3 linked regions of the Rattus norvegicus genome follow. The protein of the gene in region 2 purifies or fractionates together with the protein of the main gene of each other region. This does not show direct contact. Links are inferred from orthologs where the notes say so. Each region holds a gene or a part of one and is shown on either strand. Other genes may lie near its edges.

Region 1 (6,008 bases), on a different chromosome or scaffold from region 2:
CCAGCCCTTACCTAATTTTAACTGCTTTTGCAATTAAAAACAAACATAGCCTACACACTCTTTCGGGGGGTATGTGATTCTGCCAATCCAATTTTCCCCATATTTGGAAAACTGGGGACTAAATGTAATCACAATCAATTTTAAGAAGATGCTTTCTTATTGGCAGCAGTGACCAGCTGGTGGAAAGCCATAGCTAGGTACATCCATGGAAATGCAGTCTAATTAAGGACAGGTGCCAAGAAACGTCAAAGCAAAGCGAACACTAGGGGGCAGCAAACTGTTGAGGATTGTACCGGGCAATCAACTCAGACACAAGACTGATGAGGATATGAGACTGTATTCACTCATTTTGCTCTAAGGACTAGAGATAGAATTCAGGAAGTCATCTGCTAAGACACACCCCAGCCTCTTGTATATTTCTAATGTGAATTACACTGTAATGAAAGATGGCTTAAAATTAAATCACTGTGATCAAAAGCTGCTCTAATTGCCTCTGTTTCTCTTCCAGTTGCAATTGTCTTTCTCTAACATTGGTCCAAAGCACTGTGACAGAGTCCTTTTGATACAAAACTCAGTACTTCCACTTCTGAGGTAGGCACCACATGGATGACTAGTATTTTTACCCAAATGATTTTAAGTCTATGCTGAGTTTGAACTGAAAGTGTCATGGCATAGGGATTCGGGTAAAGGCTTCAGGAATCTGGCTTTGTAAAGAAACCAAAACATACACAGGTAAGTACAGGAAAGAAGTGGAGAAAAGGCAAATCAGCTATTACATATCAGTTACAAATTTAAAAGATGTATCCTCTCAAAGGACTAAGGAGTAGAAACCATTCAGTATCATCCTAGGGTTAATCAATTATCAGGCAAAAAAGAGGGAGGTTTGGGGGTTTCCTAGAGCAATGCTTGCATGCTAAACATTAGGCCTTCTCAAAGTACTTCAACCAGGGTTTAAAGTCTGCTGAGAGCCGAGGGTAACCTCAAAGACTGAGGAAGGTGATCTATGAGTTCCAGGCACACCTGAGCTACACAGGGACGGCACTGAGAAAAACCAAAAGTCTGGACAAAAAAGCGGGATGAGGACAGTAGTTTACAATCTATTAGTGGACTAAGGCTATAAGAAGGAAGACCTAATGCAGGCAGCGCCTCGTTATAAAATCTACAATGTTCTGGGAACTAAAATGCAGGGATTGTGTCTTGATAGGCCTCGGTCAAACTCAACCTCAGGGAAAAGGTTGTAAAATTACCTTCGGTCTAAGTACACTGGCTCATACAAATTAAACGTTGAACTCATGTTTAGAATTGGGTCCTTGACCAAGAAATTCTCCATTATTTAATATATCCAAGTATCTCCCAACTCACAACCAGAAGTTGGCGACACTTCCGGTCCTGAACACTTCGTGAAAAGGGTATTCACTTGCATAGCTCGTGATACATACACTTAAGCTTGAACATCTCCATTATCTGCAGTACTAACGATTAAGCCTAGATTTGTGCAAACCCCGGGTAAGTTTCCTACCACTGAGTTATTTTACTTAACTTTTAAGACAAGCTCCGGGACGCGAACTTGCCAGCTTCCTTCCTCAGTCCCCCGTAGCTGGGTTTATGTCTGTGCCTTATGTACCACCCGAGAAATTCTCTTTCAAAGTAGCGCCAAAACCATTTATTCTTGAACATGGGTTCCTAACCATGATTAGTTGAAAGAATTCAGTTTTGTCAATTTGGGGAGAGATTAAAACCACTGAAATTCAGTTACTTTCTAGTGAGGAAGTAACTTCCTGTTTCTAGGCCAAAATCAGTGATACAAAAACACTTAAATCCTTCAAGTATAGTTTTTAATTCTTGCTAGTTTAAAGTTAGTCATTATTAGGCAGGCCAGTACAGTTGATATTTAATGTTTTATTAAAGCATGGTTTACTCCATCAAACCATGTAGTTTCCCCATAACTGTTTCAAGGTAAATCAACAACTATAGAGATGTATCCTTACCTATCTAAAGTCACGATGAAAAACCCTTCAGTCTAGAAGACATAAAATGTTAAAAAATGCCCACCAGCACATTTTATTTCCTTCACAGCATTTCACTGATGTCTTTCGCCCTGGTGTAACGTCCAAAGCACACCGGAAGTGGGGGTGTGGGGGGTGGATTCCCAAGGTCCAGGAGAAATGACTCACAAGGTAAGTGTAGAATAGGGGAATCCTGACATTACTCTGTACACCGCAGTTTTGCTTTGTTTAGGCTTCCCAACGGCACTGTTACAATTCTAAGCCTCCAGCTCTTGTATTACTTTTTTCTTAATTATCGTTAGATACACATCCAAAAAGAAAACATACAAGAAACCTGTCACCCGCTAGTTACCGCACTTAACAATGGAGACATAAATGTAAGTTTCTAGAAGACGGTAGGTTGTACTGTCTGTTAACTCATGCTTTGTGTCACTTGGAGCAGACACTTTGGTGAAGGACCCTTCCAAATCGGTGGTGGGGCGTCCTGCGGTGAGATTTCTTCCACGTGCCCAGCTCCTTAAACTCGGCCCATGTGGACAGGCTCCCACGTGAACGCGTCTTCTCAGAAGCCGCAGGAAGCCCTTCCACGTCACGCCACCCGACGCCTCGCCAGGCTGGGGAGTTCCGAAGACCCCCCAAGGGAGGAGCGAGGCGTGGAGCGGATGCGGACCCCGCGGCGGGCCGGCCACTTCCCTCCGCTCCCAACCGCGCCCACGCCGCCCTACACCCTGGTGCCCGGGAACAAAGCCCGCGGCCGGGCCACGGTCGTCTCACGACCAGGGCTCGGGGACCGGTGGACTGCGCCACAGCTCCCGCGCGCTCCATCGAGCCTTTTCGGTTGGCCCGGAGCTGAGCGGCCGCCGTCCGTTACCCCCCGCAGACGAGCCCCTGGGACCTGCCTCGGGTCCCGGGTCCCCGTACGGCGGCCGCGGGAAGCCCGCGCAGCCCTCAACAGGCGCCACCCGCCCCGCGTCCCCGCAGCAGGCCGAGGGACACGGGTCCCCACCGCCGCCCGCGGCGCACTCGGCTGGTCCCAGCCCCACGCGCTGCTCTCCTGCTCGCCGCCACCGCCTGCAGCAGCTGCGAACACACGAGCCCCAGCCCGGAGGCCCCGGTGCCAGCCCCAGCCCGGCCTCCCCTGCCGTCCCGGGACTCCCAGGCTCCGCCGCGCACGGGGCCGGTTCTGGGGGAGGGAATGTAAACAAATCGGGGTTTTATAGTTACCTCACACTCGAGTGCCGTGTGCATCTCCTCTCCGCTCGGTACCAAACCCCGGCTGCACCCAGTCGTGTATTCTCCAAAGCCGCCTGCGCTATCTGCGTCGCGGAGCCTAGTGCGCGAGCCGGCGCTCTACGCCGGCGGCGCACTCAGTCTGTTCTGGCGCCCTGCGCAGCCGCACCCTGGCTGCCTCAGCTCTACGCCAGCGGCGCACCCAGCCCTCTCGGGTGCCCTGCGCAGTCGCACCTCGGCCTGATCAGCGCTACGCCGGCGGCGCACTCGCAGCGTCCAGCCATCCACTTCGCGGACGCGCCTGGCGTAGGAGAGCCGCGGCACCGGGGGAGCTACACCGGCAGGCGGAACTGGAAGAAATTATATCTACGCAAGTTGCGGAGCCCTGTAGCTCCGCGCTAGTTTTGTTCGGAGAAAGGACTCCTTGGGGGCAGTTGGGGCGGCTTCTAACGCATGCGTGGAGCGGCCTTGGTCGCCTCTCCTGGCCTCGCACGTAGGTTGCTGAGGCCTTGGGCTAGCGGATGAGACATAGAAGCCCGGAAAGCGAGCGTCCTAGGCCAGAGTTTCGGAGAGATCAATTAGGTTTACTGATCTGTACGCGGGTTAAACAACTATATTAAATTAACTCCGCCCCCTCTGCCCCAGCAACCGTGCCAGTCTGGGCAAAACTAAACTTTGGTGCTTTGTGCAAAGTGTTTTGCATAACTCCCCCCACCGCACCCCCATTTAAAGAGCACTTACAATGGGTTTTCCTGAACAGAAAGGTGTTGACTTTAAAAGTGTCACGTAATTATGATAGCTTTGGGTACCCATCCAAGGACTTTCCCCAACCTTAACTACTGGAACAGTTTTACACCCAAAGGCAAGACCCCGATCCACCCAGCAACACCGGTGGACTCATGCCTACATCCTGCCGGTTCTTGCATCCCTTTGCTCACACCGCCATTCTCAATGGCCTCCTCCCCTCTTAAGCAACTAACAACCCACAATTTTCTTAAAAGGAGGCTGGGCAAACCTTTTGCTTCATTATTCATTGCTCTGCTTCCTGGCTTTTAATTCATGTCTAGGCTTATTTGTATTCTGCCCAGAAGCCTGTGTTTCTGTATTCAAGCTGAGCGCACTTACTAGTGAAAGTGAATTCTGGGGGTGGGTGCTTTATGGACCAACAGGGTGCATATAACTCTGAGCAATAGTAATTGCCAGCTTTATGTGTCAGGTACCTTCAACATGCTTTCCATGTATATTAATTTAATACTCCTAACAGACTGAAGAATGATTACCCAGGAAGTAAAGTCCTAGGGAATAAGGAACTTGCCTGAGAGAACTGAGGAGAGGCATAGAGAGGCATAGAGAGCCAAACCTATTCAGCATGGCTACCGCGGCCTGTCTGGCAGCCTCGAACTCCTTGAAAGAAGCTGTTTGCCTTTTGTTTTTACCTGTGTATGAAACAGCTTCCAGGTGCTCAATAAATATCTGACTGAAAGCACATTGAGCTTCTCATATCCCTCTTTCTCTCACATGGAGAAGCCAACCAATCCATGACCTAACTCCGGCTGCCAAAGGAAGACATTCTGAGAAGTCATGAGGCCTTGCCCTTAGTGGAAGAAGATGGTGGAGTGACCACAGTCCTCAAACCCAGGAGTTAATCTGGGGATTACACAAACAGTAATGACTTCAGTTATACAGGATTTATCAGTAGATCCTTTTGGTGCAAAGCATAAAAATATCCAAATTGCCGTGATATTTTAAGGCTTGTAATTATCTGATAAAACACATTGTCAACTTCTTTAAAATATATAACACCTTCCAAACAAGCTAGAGCTCTTGAGCCAGTGTTCCCAGCACCACCAGTGTTTTGGGGATATTTGCTTACAAACCAAGTGTTCACCTGGTTTGCACAGGTTTATCTAAATACTCGGTTAAACACTGAAGTGTGGCCATGAAAAGCAATCAACAGCCACAGCCGTTAGTGGGATTCTTCCATACTCCCCAATCTCTCACGGTCCTTTCAAAATTTTCCAGAATTCCACATTGTGGCAACTAGAGGGCTAAAGCTTCAGTCACAGCATTATTTCATGTATATGTATCTGAAATTTAAAGGTACCCGTTTTACCTCTATGAGGCAGTATAAGGAACCCAACGAACCCTTTAGTTCTTCCAAGGATTAGAAAAGAGCCAACTATAACAATGGAAATATGAATCACAGCCCACCTTGGACTTTAACTGTCACTAAGGGAAGCCCACGGCGGAGGCCCAGCTTTCCTTCTAATTTTGGAGAAAGTGCTTCCCATCCACAGCACAGTTACGGTGGTAATGAAATCTACAAAGGGCAGGACAGAGTCCACGGAATCAGACCTTTCCAACTCAGCTGTTCTCTTCATGAATCAAGATTACTAATAACGAATGATTTAAAAAAACAAAACTACTTGAATTCGGTTGAATCTAAACACTGATTTTCCGAATAGGTTTGGATCAGCCTAGAGAAATCATTAAGAGAAGAAGAGTAAACGGAGTGCAAACCAAGGCACCGAGCACAGGAATAGATATTTAAGACCTGGGAAGGGAAGGTGTCAGGGACCTATAAGCACAGATCTGAATGTAGGCTTCAAACTAACAGTTACCCATCATTTCTAGAGGCTCTGTATTCATACTTGAGGGTGAAATCCCAGCTCTGCAGATCTTCCTGTTTCTCAAGAGCAAGACTTAGTGTCTGAAAAGCCAACTCTTTGACATAGCACAGGAAGATAGGCCAACATAGCCTCAGTAAGGGAC
Region 2 (6,201 bases):
TCCCATCCTGTGACTGAGAATTGTACAGGTGACCAATGAAGTCAGGAATTTTCTCTTGGGAGGAATAAACAGATTTTTAATTTAAACAGATTTTAAAAGCTATATACTTTTAAAAGGGCAGAGAAGATACTGTTGCTCACTGATTACTCAACTCTATGTCTTCACCCTGCACACACACACACTCAGGGGTACAGACCATAGCTGAACCAATGTGGTGGCTGTTTCAACAAAAACTCTGACACTTGAATTTCATATGTGAAATTCTCATGTTACAAAATACTATTTTCCACACCCACTGTTAACCACTTAAAAACATGAGACTATTCTTAATTCACAGGCCACTTAAGTCAGTGAGACTAGTCTGGTCATGCCCCTTCTCCAAAGGAGCCCTTGCTCCTCACAAGGTAAAGCCTAACTCAGTTCTGAAGTTCGTACACTGGACTGAGGTACTGAGTCTTCAAGTTAAGCCCTTGTTTACCTTGAGCCTTGATCTCTAGCTCTAACTACTCCACAGCAATGTTTAATGACTAAACATTACCAAAACCCTGCAGCCTAAGTCCTTCCTAAGACACTCCAAGGAAACCTGTGCTGAGTATGGGGTAGCCCATAATTCTTCTTTCATGAAACTCCAACAGAACCAGATGCTGCTGGCCTTGGAACCCACACACCCAAATGAACACCAGAAAACCTCTATAAAACTATTAATTTGAAGAGGGGAAGCCATTAAAGCTACTTCACAAGCAAGAAAGTTATGTAGCAAACCAGGATTCTGGAATATAAAAGAAATAAACCATATGCTCTGCTGGGGTGCAGAAAGGACACCCTCCCACTCTGCATTAGTTCTTGGTGGCTTCTAGGCACGCACTTTCGTCCTGGTCATTTTCCTCTTTACTCACAGACATTTTCCTAACAAATGTATTCACCTCAAAAATAATGTCTGGCAGAGTATAATGATGCACACTTAAAATAATCCCAGTACTCAGAAGGCCAAGGCAAAGGGATGTCATCCTGATGTTATTCTGATGTCATCCTGAGCTACACAGTCCCTGTCTCAAAAAACTAAGGGTAGCCAGGTGGTGCGTGCCTTTAATCCTAGCACATAAGAGGCAGAGGTAAGCAGATCTCTGAGTTCAGTATCAGCCTCATCTACTAATTGAGTTCCAGGATACCCAGAGCCACACAGAGAAACCCTATCTAGAAAAACAAACAAAATAAACAGCCAAAGAGCAGCCAGCCATGATCATGGAACACCTGTAATTCTAGCATTCTGGAAACTGAGACAGAAATTGCTTTGAGTTCAAAGTCAGCCTGGACTACATAGAAGTACTAGGCCAGCCAGAGCTACATGGCCCTGTTTCAAAATTACAGACTGACTGACTGACTGACTGACTGACTGACTGACTGACTATGGATGTGGCTCAGTGGTACAGTACTTGTCTAGCATGTACAAGTCCTGAGTTTGATCCTCAACACCACAGAAATAAACGAACGTATGCAGTTAGAAAATGCCCTCTACTGGGAAACACTGAGATTGTGTTCACTGCCACCATTTCTCCTGGGCTCTACAGTAACTAATTTTTCAGTTTTTAAAATAAGTTCAATTTTAAAAGTTTTTTTAAAAAAATATTGTGTGTGTCCACGTGCACACACTCATGTGCTAAAGAGGTCCAGAGATTTCCAATCCTGCAGGAGCTGGAGTTAGAGTTGTGAGCTGTCTGATGTAGGTACTGAAAATTGAACAGCACATTCTCTTAACTACTGAGCCATCCCATAAGCACAATGTTTATGACCACTTAAATCAAGCCACTGCAGTAATCACAAGTGTTATCATAAATACCAACAACTGGGAGACTCAACCATAATTCCTCATAGGGAATAATCATTTTTTTCTATCCACTCCATGTTAAACACAGCATTTCCAAGTTCTTGTACCACATGGGCAAGAGGCACCTGATCCTGTATAATTACCAGTGTAGTACTTCAGAGTTGTCTCTATGACACTGAGCCACCATAAAATAGTCCGTGGCAAAAAGCATGGTTATACAATTTAAGATTGTATACTAAGTTTATATGCACTCCCAACAGACCCACATAAAGGTCATCTAAAACACCACGATCACTAGGGAATTTAAAATAATGTAAATCTAGGATTCCTTCCAAAATAGAAAATGAAGTCTGAGTATTGATCAAGTTTCCAGGACCTGAGTTCCATCCCAACATCATAAAAAACAACACAACCCAGTACTTAGCAAATAAAACCATAATGCTACTTTTATACATAAAAAGGTGAGGTTCAAATGACACGAGGAATAATTCCTTACATCTCTCTGTAAAACAAGATGTACTAAACTCGGGCATTTAGAAGCCCAAAGTTTGTCTAAATTCAAAGGCTTCTTCTCTTCTGTGACTGCAAGGTTAACCACAAACTACTTACAGTCAAATATCTCCCTCTTAATTCAACAGCTGACCCATGTATGTTTCTTTAAGTGGTAGAAATAGCTAAGGAAAAGACCATCCAAACCCATCCTACTGGTAGAACCCCCCCTCCCCTCCGCACCCCACCACGGCTCACAATCCATAACTACAGGAATTCACAGCTGTAAAGTTCAGATTGTAAAAACCTCTCCCTCTAAAGCTTGCATCATCTTGCTCCTCCTTCCAACCTTTCTGGTCAGCTAACTAAACCCAAGTTTAAAGGACACGTCTCATAGGCAGAGGGGGAGGAGGGTTCCTAGGCTGGGAGCCCAGACCTGTCAAACACATTTTTTAAGTGCTTCGGGGAAATGTCAGTCGAAACGTTCACGAGGCCCAGTTAAATGTCTTTATAACCCTTTGTATATCCAGAGAGTCGGCTAGACAAAAAGAGACCGGCTTTCGGGTTTTGTTCCTCTGAGGGAGAGGAGGGCTGGGGCGGTTTTCTGCTCAGGCCCCTGTGCCAGTTGTGTGGCCCACCCCAAAGTTGCTCGGGTCCGGAGGCCAGACGCGGACGCCCGGCGAGGACGCGGCGGACGGCCTGGAACAATGCGGGGCTCCGGGGCGCCCACGCTGGGGCCTGGGGAGCCAGGCAGCAAAGGCTGTCCCCCGCCCGCGCCGCCAAACAAAAGGCGCCGCTGGGCCAGCGCCCGGGCCCGGAAAAGTTTGTGAGAGGCTGGGGCCGAGGCCCGCGCGCGCCGCCCCGCACAATGGCCCGGCCGAGCGCGGGAAGGCCGAGCGCCACGCCCCCGCTCCGCAGGGCCGCGGCCCAGTACCTGGTGCGTGTCCTTCCCGCCGCCCGTGGCCGCCGCTGGCCCGCCAGGGCCGCTAGTCATGTTCACGTACAGAGAGCGGGAGAGCGGGCTCCGCAGCGTCCACATCCTCCGCGCCAGCCACACGGACGCCAGGCTCAGGCACAGCCAGCCCGCCAACAGTCTCATCGGGGGGCCGCGGCCGCCAGCTCGGATCACCGCCGGGCCCAAGCCCAGGAGGAGGAGGAGGAGCCGCCGCCTCCGGCCACCGTCGTCGCCGCCGGAGCTCGAGCCATCGCCGCCAAGTCGCCCGTGCAGCCCCCTTCGGGGCCGAGGCGGGGAGGTGGGAGGAGCGGCAGGCGCACGGCCTTCTCACGTCCCCCGCGGCCCTTCCCGACCCGGAACGCCAAGGACTCCAGCTCCGGTTTCCACCCGGTGCACGTACAAATGCAGGAGGGGCGTTCTCCCTGCCCAATGAGCGGAGACGGGGAGGCCCGGGAGGTGGAAGAAAGGGCGTATACGTTCTCCGTGGCGCCGCCTGGACTCATAATGGCGGAAGGTTGGGGGAGACTTCTTACAGGGGTTACTGGACTCTTGACGCTCCGAGGAGGGCCTGCAGGACTTCCGGTCTTTCCTTGCCTTAGTAATAACTACCCAATGGGCCCCTCGACTACTCCTTTGACCTAAATGTTCACACTGACTCGAGGACGAAGGGACCTCATCCCTTTCCCGAGTCGTGATACACTCAGACCCAGCTTAATTCGACAGACCAGCGCTGCCCTTCTTGCTACAGTCATGTCTATTTAATAATTCTGTCTGGGGTCAGCGAACCTGACTCCCAACTCAAAAAACCACCCGGTAGCGGAGAATCTAGGGGAAAAAGGACCTCACTGCTACTCCCAGCCCCAGCATTCCTAAGCCTGAGGAGCTGCTGTCACAGGTCTTCACATGAAGCCTTCATGAATGGAAGCTCTGCTTTGTTGGAAGCTGATGCTGCTGGAGCACTCAGTGAAATGTGATGGAAAATAACAACTTTTCGACAACAAAGGCCACAACTTTCCTTGTTTCCTTGAGCTGACAGAAGTTGGGCCAGGCACTCAGTCTGGGGAGATGTAGCCAGATGTTTCTTAGATCATTTATAGCGGGAAGAAGCCCAATGTTTCTAAACTGAGGGTTCCTGTGTCTCAACTTCCTGTTGTTACTAAGCTACAACTAGAGAGTAACATATTTCCTAGCCCAGCTACTCACATCTTCCTAGGTTTGGAAAAACACGATTTTCATTTGACAGCACCAGAGATTCTGTACATTCTTTAGTATAAAACAATTCATCTTTATATTAATTTCATCACACTACATTAATGAGATTTCCATTTATGAAATAGTGTCCCAGAGATGAGAAATGTCACCCCTTACCACAAACTCTTTAGGTGTTAAAGAATCTCTGCCTTCTTTCCATATTAAGAATATTTTATTACCTAATGTGCATAGAATATAACAAAATACTTCATATTCTCTCATTCTGGTATATTCCCTGACATCTCCCTGTTAGGTATAAAACCAAAGACTAAACCTTGCTAAATTATGCTCAACTTTCCAGAAGTACTGGTCCAACATACATAAAAGAAGCTATAATAGTGAGTGCAAATGACTGTATTATGTCACCTCTTTGAGCTCCAATAAAGTTCTTCTGTACCAAATCAGAGTCCTCATCTTTTTTAGGTAAAGAGGAGATGCAAAGCAACAAGCGTGCATAACCAGGCACACTTCATTACTAAAGACAAAGAATACAGAGAACTGTGCCTTAACTGTACATTAAGCTTGCTTAACCACAGCTCCAAGACCTCAAAATGTGTCCTCTAAACAAGAACCAAAGAATTTGAGATCAACTGACAGTTAAAAAGCCTACCAAATTTTGCTTTATGCCTGAGCAGCTCACCTAGGAAAAAGTAAATTACCCTCACATTCAAACTACACTACAATCACAAACTATTTGTGTGATTTACATTTAGGGAGCACAGGAGGAAATGAAAGCACAGCATAAGCAAATTAAAAGCAAATTCGATAGCAAACCTTCTTAAAGAGGGTGGCATCCCCGCTTCTGGCTGCTTGATCCATCCAAGAAGCCTTGTCGTCTCTCCTCTCAGCCTCCTGAATTACAAATCAGGAGGAAGGAAAGCTGCAAGAGTAAATATACCAAGCAGAAGTTCAGATTGCCCTCTGGGACAGCCCCCTCTTACCATGTCACTACTGTACATTAAAACCTCAGTTATCCATGATGGGAACAGCAAGAGGCACCTCTAATACAGAAAGCCAACTGTGAGCCAATATCCTTTCCAATGTGGTTTTGAAGTGTAGGCAGTGGCACTCAAGAGTCACATACCTGCTGTCTTGTGCCTGCTGACTTCGAGTGTCTTGCCTGGGTTTCTGTTCTATTACCAGAAATTGTGGCTCGGTTACTTTACAAATACCCAGGCAAGTAGCTTGTTTCTTAAGCAACTTCCCCCAACTCTTCCCTTACCTCCCCCTCCCCTTCATCCTCTCTCTTTAACCCTTCTTTCCTTTTCATCGGGCCTTGTTATACAGGCTAAGCTGGCCTTGAACTCACAATCATCCTGACTATGCCTCACAAATACAGATATCACAAGAATGTGCTGCCACTCCTAACTTCATGTTTGCTTTTCAATTTCAAAGTACAATGTGAAGAAAAACCACAGAAAGAAGTAGCAATGGATGATGATAGATAGATAGATATGGAAAGAGAGATGTGGATTTGCAGAAGACTTAAAACTATTGTAGCCTCCTTTTGGAGCTAATAGTCTGAAAGGACTCCTATAATTGAATGTTTTCTCCAATTTTTGTATGTACATGCATATGCATGTGGGCACATGTGTATATACATGTGAAAGTCAGAGGTTGACTTTGGGTGTCTTCCCCAGTAGTGAGAATTTTGGGTTCTATAAAAAACACAAATATTATG
Region 3 (5,999 bases), on a different chromosome or scaffold from region 2:
TTTCATGTGATAGAATCCCTATTTGTTACAGCCTCTCCAGTTCCATGATTCTGTGTAATAACCAAGACAAGGGCACTGCCCTCACGGTGCTCCAGGTCTTCAGGAAAGAACAGGCAGACAGACAGACAAACAGACAGACAGACAGACTACACAACCCAAGTAAGTTGACAGATGCTTCTAAAAGATGTGGTAAAGAAGTGAAAGGGTATTTCCACAGTTAAGATATGTGTACAATAAATATAAATCAAGAGTTAAGCAAGAAAAGGGAAGGGAAGGCTCTGCCAGAGCAAAGAGGAGCAGAGACAAAAATGTGAGCACTAGGCAGGAGACCTTGAAGGTCCTAGTATATTAAGTTTAGTTCAATCTAGCCAGTTTAGTTTAATTTAGCAATAGATTGCTTATGATTAAAATCAAGGAAAAGCCAAACTACACTTAACATACTTGTTTTACAAAGATTATAGATTCCTCTATAAAGTATTAAAAATTTAAAAGGTGGGTCTTGAAGGAGAGATATGAAGGAATTCATATAAAATACTCATTGATAATATATTAGTAAACTAACCTTATTTTCATATATACATATGTGCATTGCACCCGAGAGGTAATAATGCTAATTCTCGAGTAGCTGATTATGGGAAAGGTTTTAAATAAAATCACTTCTAGCTTTCTCCTCACAGGTAAACAATTTACAAACCTGTTCCTATGTGTGTCAACAAATATTTTCTTCACATTTGCAGTTGTACACATATTGTGATATTAAAATCTTTCATACAATATGCACTCAAGATCTTTTTGCTGTAATTATCAAATTAGGAAAAAACACTTCAACTTTTAAACTTCTTTGATTTAAAAAATTCCCTTGGGGTTGGGGATTTAGCTCAGTGGTAGAGCGCTTGCCTAGGAAGCGCAAGGCCCTGGGTTCAGTCCCCAGGACCGAAAAAAAAGAACCAAAAAAAAAAAATTCCCTTATTACATATATTATTATCATTATTATTGTTAATGTGTGTGCACACACATGCATGCATAAGAGCATATGAAGTCAGAGAATTTGTGAGAGCTGGCTCTCTCCTTCTACCACGTGGGTCCTGGGGGTCAAACTCAGTCATAAGTCTTGGCAGCAAGAGCCTATACCTGTTGAACCATCTTGCTGGCTCCTGTGTTTTTTTTCAAGTCAGGGCTTCTTTTTGTAGATCTGGCCTGACGCTCTGCCTCTCAAACACTGGGATTAAACTCGTGCCCTACCACATCCTGAAGCTTCTGTATTCTTTGACTTCTAAAGTTCTTTGAAGCACTAGTTAAGGCTAAGTAACCATATACAGAATCACTGTTAAGGGGGAAACGATTGGCAGGTGAAGACAGGGATGGGAGACAGGCTCTTACACAGGACACTGAGCCTCAGGGCAGTGCAGGAACATTCAACCCAGCCCCCAACTTAGAAATCACTGTTTGCTATGAAGTGATCAAATAAAAAATGTAACTGGTCTTCTATGAGGTCAGACATTTCCTCAGTTCTCTGTACTTGCAATTATTAAATTTTAGATTTGAGTTTATAGTTCCTTCCTGAAATGAGTCATCACTGCCACTCAGTCTCTAGATATCAAAGGAGAGGAGGAAGGCATCGAGGGGCTCGAGGGAGAAGGTGCCCCAACAGTATACATACATAAACACTTTTCAACCGGTTCAGTGGGGAGGAGTGCTTGCTGTGTAGTGTGAGCTTGAACCCCTGGCTTTCACATGAGGCCAGGGTAGCAGTCACTGCCCTGCAGAGGCAGAGGGCTGCTAGGCTAGCTCCAGGCTCAGTGAGGAACCCTGTCTCAAGGGGATAAAGCAGGCCACACCAGCACACAATTCACATACAAACAAAGCTGCTGACCATGCACAGTGGTCTATGCCAGCACTCACACACCTCAGGAAGGAGGCGGCCAGCTTGGACACCACAGTATGATATATATGTATAATAACAACAACAGTTCAATTCATTGAATACATGTTCAAGCATTCATAGGTGTAAACAGAAGGCAATGGATTCTGAAACAACCCACACTACCAGGTCATTCATTAGCCTTGTGACCTTAGGCAACTCAATTTCCTGACCTACCAAACAAGGCTACCACCACTTAGCCTGTAGGGTTCTTGAAAAGATTAAAGGGAGGTATACATTAAGAGTCTTTGGGGCATAGGAGGTACTTGGCAAATGCTGGCTGTCCTGACCATCAAAGATTTAATGAAGTCACGATACAAACCTTTATTTAAAACATTTGGGCACTCAGGCATAAAAATAACCACAATGAAAGGGCCTGATCATTTTTGTTGCTGTTAATAACCAGTGCTTGAACATACAGAAAACTCCGGCAACCTGAAATCCCTTAAAATTCAGCCAGCTCTGGGTCAAAATTTGAGTTCTGAAATAACCTACAATAGAAGGGCAGCTCTACTAAGCAAATAATGTAGGTAAGTTGGCAAAGGATGTTTACCATATTTGTCTAGGACAGTAGCCTCTAAGGCAAAACCACTTAAACTACTCATACTCTCTCAACTCCCTCCCTCTCATACACAAAACCCTTGAGCTGTTTGAGAATAAATGAAGTATGGTCACATTTTACCCCTAAACATCTCTATTTCCTAAAAATATGGCAACTCTGCCTATGAAATCAGGAGTTATGAACGGGAAATTTAACAATGATCTGATACTTTAATCTGTCTCCATGGTTCAATTTTGTGAAGTGACCTAGTCTTGTCCCTTCTAGTATTTCCCTCTATTACCAATCCATAGCAGTAGCCCCTGCTGCAACTAGCTGTTATGGGTCACTGGTTAACACGTGACGTGCTATAAATGAATTGCTGAAAATAGAAAACCAAATGCATTCTGCAAATCCCGCAGTTGGTTTAAAATCTATTCAGCATATGTGTCTTTTCACAGATAAAAGTAAGCTGGTAACGCTGTAACCTCGGTCTAAGAACATTATCAAAAGCAATCACGAAATCTCAGAGTACATACTGATTATCAGTTTGAACGAAACTTTGGGCTTTAACACTACCTCCGAACTTAGGACAGGACAGGAAGGACACAACTGGCTCGCGCCAGTGTACACTACTCGGTCCTTGCCTTTAGGTTGGAGGGAAGGTAAAGAAGAATTTTCATGCTACGAATTCCTGTACGGTATGAGTTTTGGGGGGGGGGAGAGGGGTAACAGATATCTCTTACTATTAAAATAAGTCCCCATCCCTCTCCACAAAACCACGGCAAAGAAAACTCGATGGCAGGGTTGCATTTTTGCTGTGCTGTACACCGAAGTTCATCGGCTTGTACTTTGGTTTCCTCGCCTGAGACGGTGACACCTTCCGCTTATCCTCTCGGCGAGCCCTGGAACAAGCTAAGGAGCTCTGCGTTACCTAAGTGGCAGGGAGGAACATTCAGGTCCTCTCTCTAGGGACTGCAAACTGGCAGGACCTGCAAACTCAGGTGCGTTCTGAGCCCGGACTCCCGCCCGCTCGCGGATCTCAAGCCATGGACCGTAGAGGTAGCCGGCGGGGTCCGAGCAAGGCGGGGAAGCTTGTCCGCACCGCCGCCGGCCGTTGAATCCCTCCTTACCGGGCGCTGGGCACGTCCACCGGCCCGAGGCCGCCGCCGGGCCCGGGCCGCGGGTCCCCGCCGTACTTCTCCTCCATGCCGGCTCAGGAGCCGCTGCCCACGCCGCGGGCTCTCCTCATGTCTTGCTGCCGCTGCGGAAGCGCGGGCGCAGGCGCGTCACTCCCCCATTTCAGTCGCGTCCTCTCAGGCTCAGCAGTCCCCACCGCTAGCCCGGGCTCGGCAGGTAGGAGCACGCACGTTGGGCGGGATTAGGCCGCGGGCTGTTCCGGCAGCGCCGATCCCCGGAGGCCGTACGGGCAGGGACGTTACCGGGCCACGTCATCCGCCCCGGCAGCCCTCACTCCCGGGGGAGTGACCAATCCTGCGCGTGCGCGCAGCTGGACACGTGTCTCCTCTCGGCTCAGGCTCCTCCCACCGCAGAGAAGGCTCGGATCGACCCGCCCCCTACTCGCGTCTTCTAGAGAAGCACCTTACCGGTCCCTGCAGCGCCACCTAAGGTCCATCTCGGCTACAGCTTGTTCTCCTTGCGCGTGGGATGGATGGTCCCCTAGAAAGTGCACTTTGTGTTAACAAACAGAGCTTAGCCCTTAGCGACAGAGTTCTTTTTCAAACGGCTTCACTCTGTAGCCCAGGTAGGTCTAGAACTCAGCATGTAGCCCAGGCTAGCCTTGTAAACCTGCGCATTGAATTTACAGGTCTGAGCCACATATAGACGCTGCAAACTCAAAATATGTGTGAAGTGCATTAACTTTTTTTTCTAATGAGAAAGCTAAAAGATTCTTAAAGTACCTGTGACTCCCACAAAGAAATAACTTTTTTTTTTGATTTCTGATGATACTATAACACAGGGTGGGAGGCTGGAAGGATATGTCTACTGAAAAAAATGGAGAAAGGCAACTGCTTTTGTGGATTTAATTGTTGGGCAGGAGTACTGGCTATATGGCTAACCTGCTCAAATGTCTGAGAGACCAACCCAGAAGGTGTGCGATGATAAACAATTTTATCTCCTTTTTGAAAATACAGTTTTCTTCAGTTCTGCCTTTGAAATGATACTGCTTAATGTAGACACATCTATATAAAAGCTATTTTTCACAGGCACCTAGATCTCTATTGGTCTGAGTCTCAATACTTAATAATTGTGGTCACCTTGGTTAGCATGGTGGTGCATGCCTGTAATCCCAATTATAGCCAGAGGCAGTTTGAAGCCAGCCTGGGCTACACATTGAGTTCTAAGCTAGCCAGGGCTACAAGGCAATGTCCTGTCTCAAAAGGAACAAGAAAAGCAATAAACAATTAGTTTTCCTCCTCTTTGTCGTTGTTGTTTTTGGTTATATAGAAACCAATCTCATGTAGCCCAGGCTGGGCTTCAGCTTGATATCTAGCTAAGAATGGCCTGGAACTCTGATCTCCTGGCTTCTCTTCCAAGTGCTGGCATTACAAACATGCACACTGTCCCTGGAAAGAAGGAATATCTGTATTCTAAAGCTGTTCAGAGGGAAGTAAGCAGGGTGGACTACTACTCAGTCAATGTTAACTGTTACTGTTACACGTTAACTGTTACTCAAGGATGTTCAGACTGGTGCTTTGAAGAGGAAAGTGGGGTTTGCAGCAGGATAAGTCATAATCAGTTGATATTACACTAGTGGATTTGAACACACACAGAGAGTCTAAGCGACAGGTATATGAGCAACAGACCGAAAGTTTTTTGCCTTTAAACCTGCTGTGGAGAATAGTTAGCAAGCTAGAGCAAGACTTAGCTGTCGTGGTGTTACATGGTAGACTCCCGAGGGTTCCCAAATAGCATCTGATAAACAGGGAAGGCTGAGGGAAGAGTTTGTAAGTCATTTCATATCCATACATATCCATACATTAAAAACAACAACAACAACAACGACGCCATGTGCTGTGCTCCTCCCAGGAGGAGGATCAGGAGTTCAGGGAAATCCTCAGAGTTTAAAGGCCTGCCTGGTTACAAGAGACACTGGAGAGGGGGAAGGGGAGAGGAGGAGGGAGGGAGGGGGAGGGAGTAGAGGAGGGGAGGAGGGAGGGGGAAGGGAGAAGAAGGGAAAAGAAGAGAGAAGGGGGGGGAAGGGAAGGGAAGAAGAAAGCAAAGAAACTCTCATGGGTTGACAGTCTTTCCCGAGACCTCAGGAAAGGTTCTCCATATGCTACATGCGGAGCAGCGAGGCAGGTACAGTCTGGAGAAGCTATAGGTACTCACACTCCTATGAAGCAGGTAAAAGACGGCAATATAACACACCCTCACTGCAGTTGTTTGTATCGTGCATGTGTGTGTGTGTGTGTGTGTGTGTGTGTGTGTGTGTGTACAAAATAGTGGGTTTCAATGGGACTTTATTGTTTTTTTTTTTTTTTCGGAGCTGGGGACCGAACCCAGGGCCTTTCGCTT

The links.
Region 1: the proteins of Mettl9 (region 2) and Slc39a10 purify together in Homo sapiens (co-immunoprecipitation; 3 studies listed by BioGRID and IntAct, with this or other methods). This does not show direct contact. The link is inferred for Rattus norvegicus from reciprocal best matches to the Homo sapiens genes METTL9 and SLC39A10.
Region 3: the proteins of Mettl9 (region 2) and Slc30a5 purify together in Homo sapiens (co-immunoprecipitation; 3 studies listed by BioGRID and IntAct, with this or other methods). This does not show direct contact. The link is inferred for Rattus norvegicus from reciprocal best matches to the Homo sapiens genes METTL9 and SLC30A5.

What each region holds. Positions count from the first base shown.
Region 1 is NC_086027.1:62,403,243-62,409,250, reverse strand, and holds the start of Slc39a10 (zinc transporter ZIP10 precursor), read right to left. Parts: upstream 3,819-6,008; 5' UTR 3,231-3,818; intron 1-3,230. UniProt on the Homo sapiens protein: Zinc-influx transporter. When associated with SLC39A6, the heterodimer formed by SLC39A10 and SLC39A6 mediates cellular zinc uptake to trigger cells to undergo epithelial-to-mesenchymal transition (EMT).
Region 2 is NC_086019.1:185,006,528-185,012,728, reverse strand, and holds the start of Mettl9 (protein-L-histidine N-pros-methyltransferase precursor), read right to left. Parts: upstream 3,414-6,201; coding exon 3,249-3,413; intron 1,844-3,248; coding exon of another isoform or gene 1,842-1,843; intron 1-1,841. UniProt on the Homo sapiens protein: Protein-histidine N-methyltransferase that specifically catalyzes 1-methylhistidine (pros-methylhistidine) methylation of target proteins.
Region 3 is NC_086020.1:33,706,081-33,712,079, forward strand, and holds the start of Slc30a5 (proton-coupled zinc antiporter SLC30A5), read right to left. Parts: upstream 3,819-5,999; 5' UTR 3,670-3,818; coding exon 3,593-3,669; intron 1-3,592. UniProt on the Homo sapiens protein: Together with SLC30A6 forms a functional proton-coupled zinc ion antiporter mediating zinc entry into the lumen of organelles along the secretory pathway.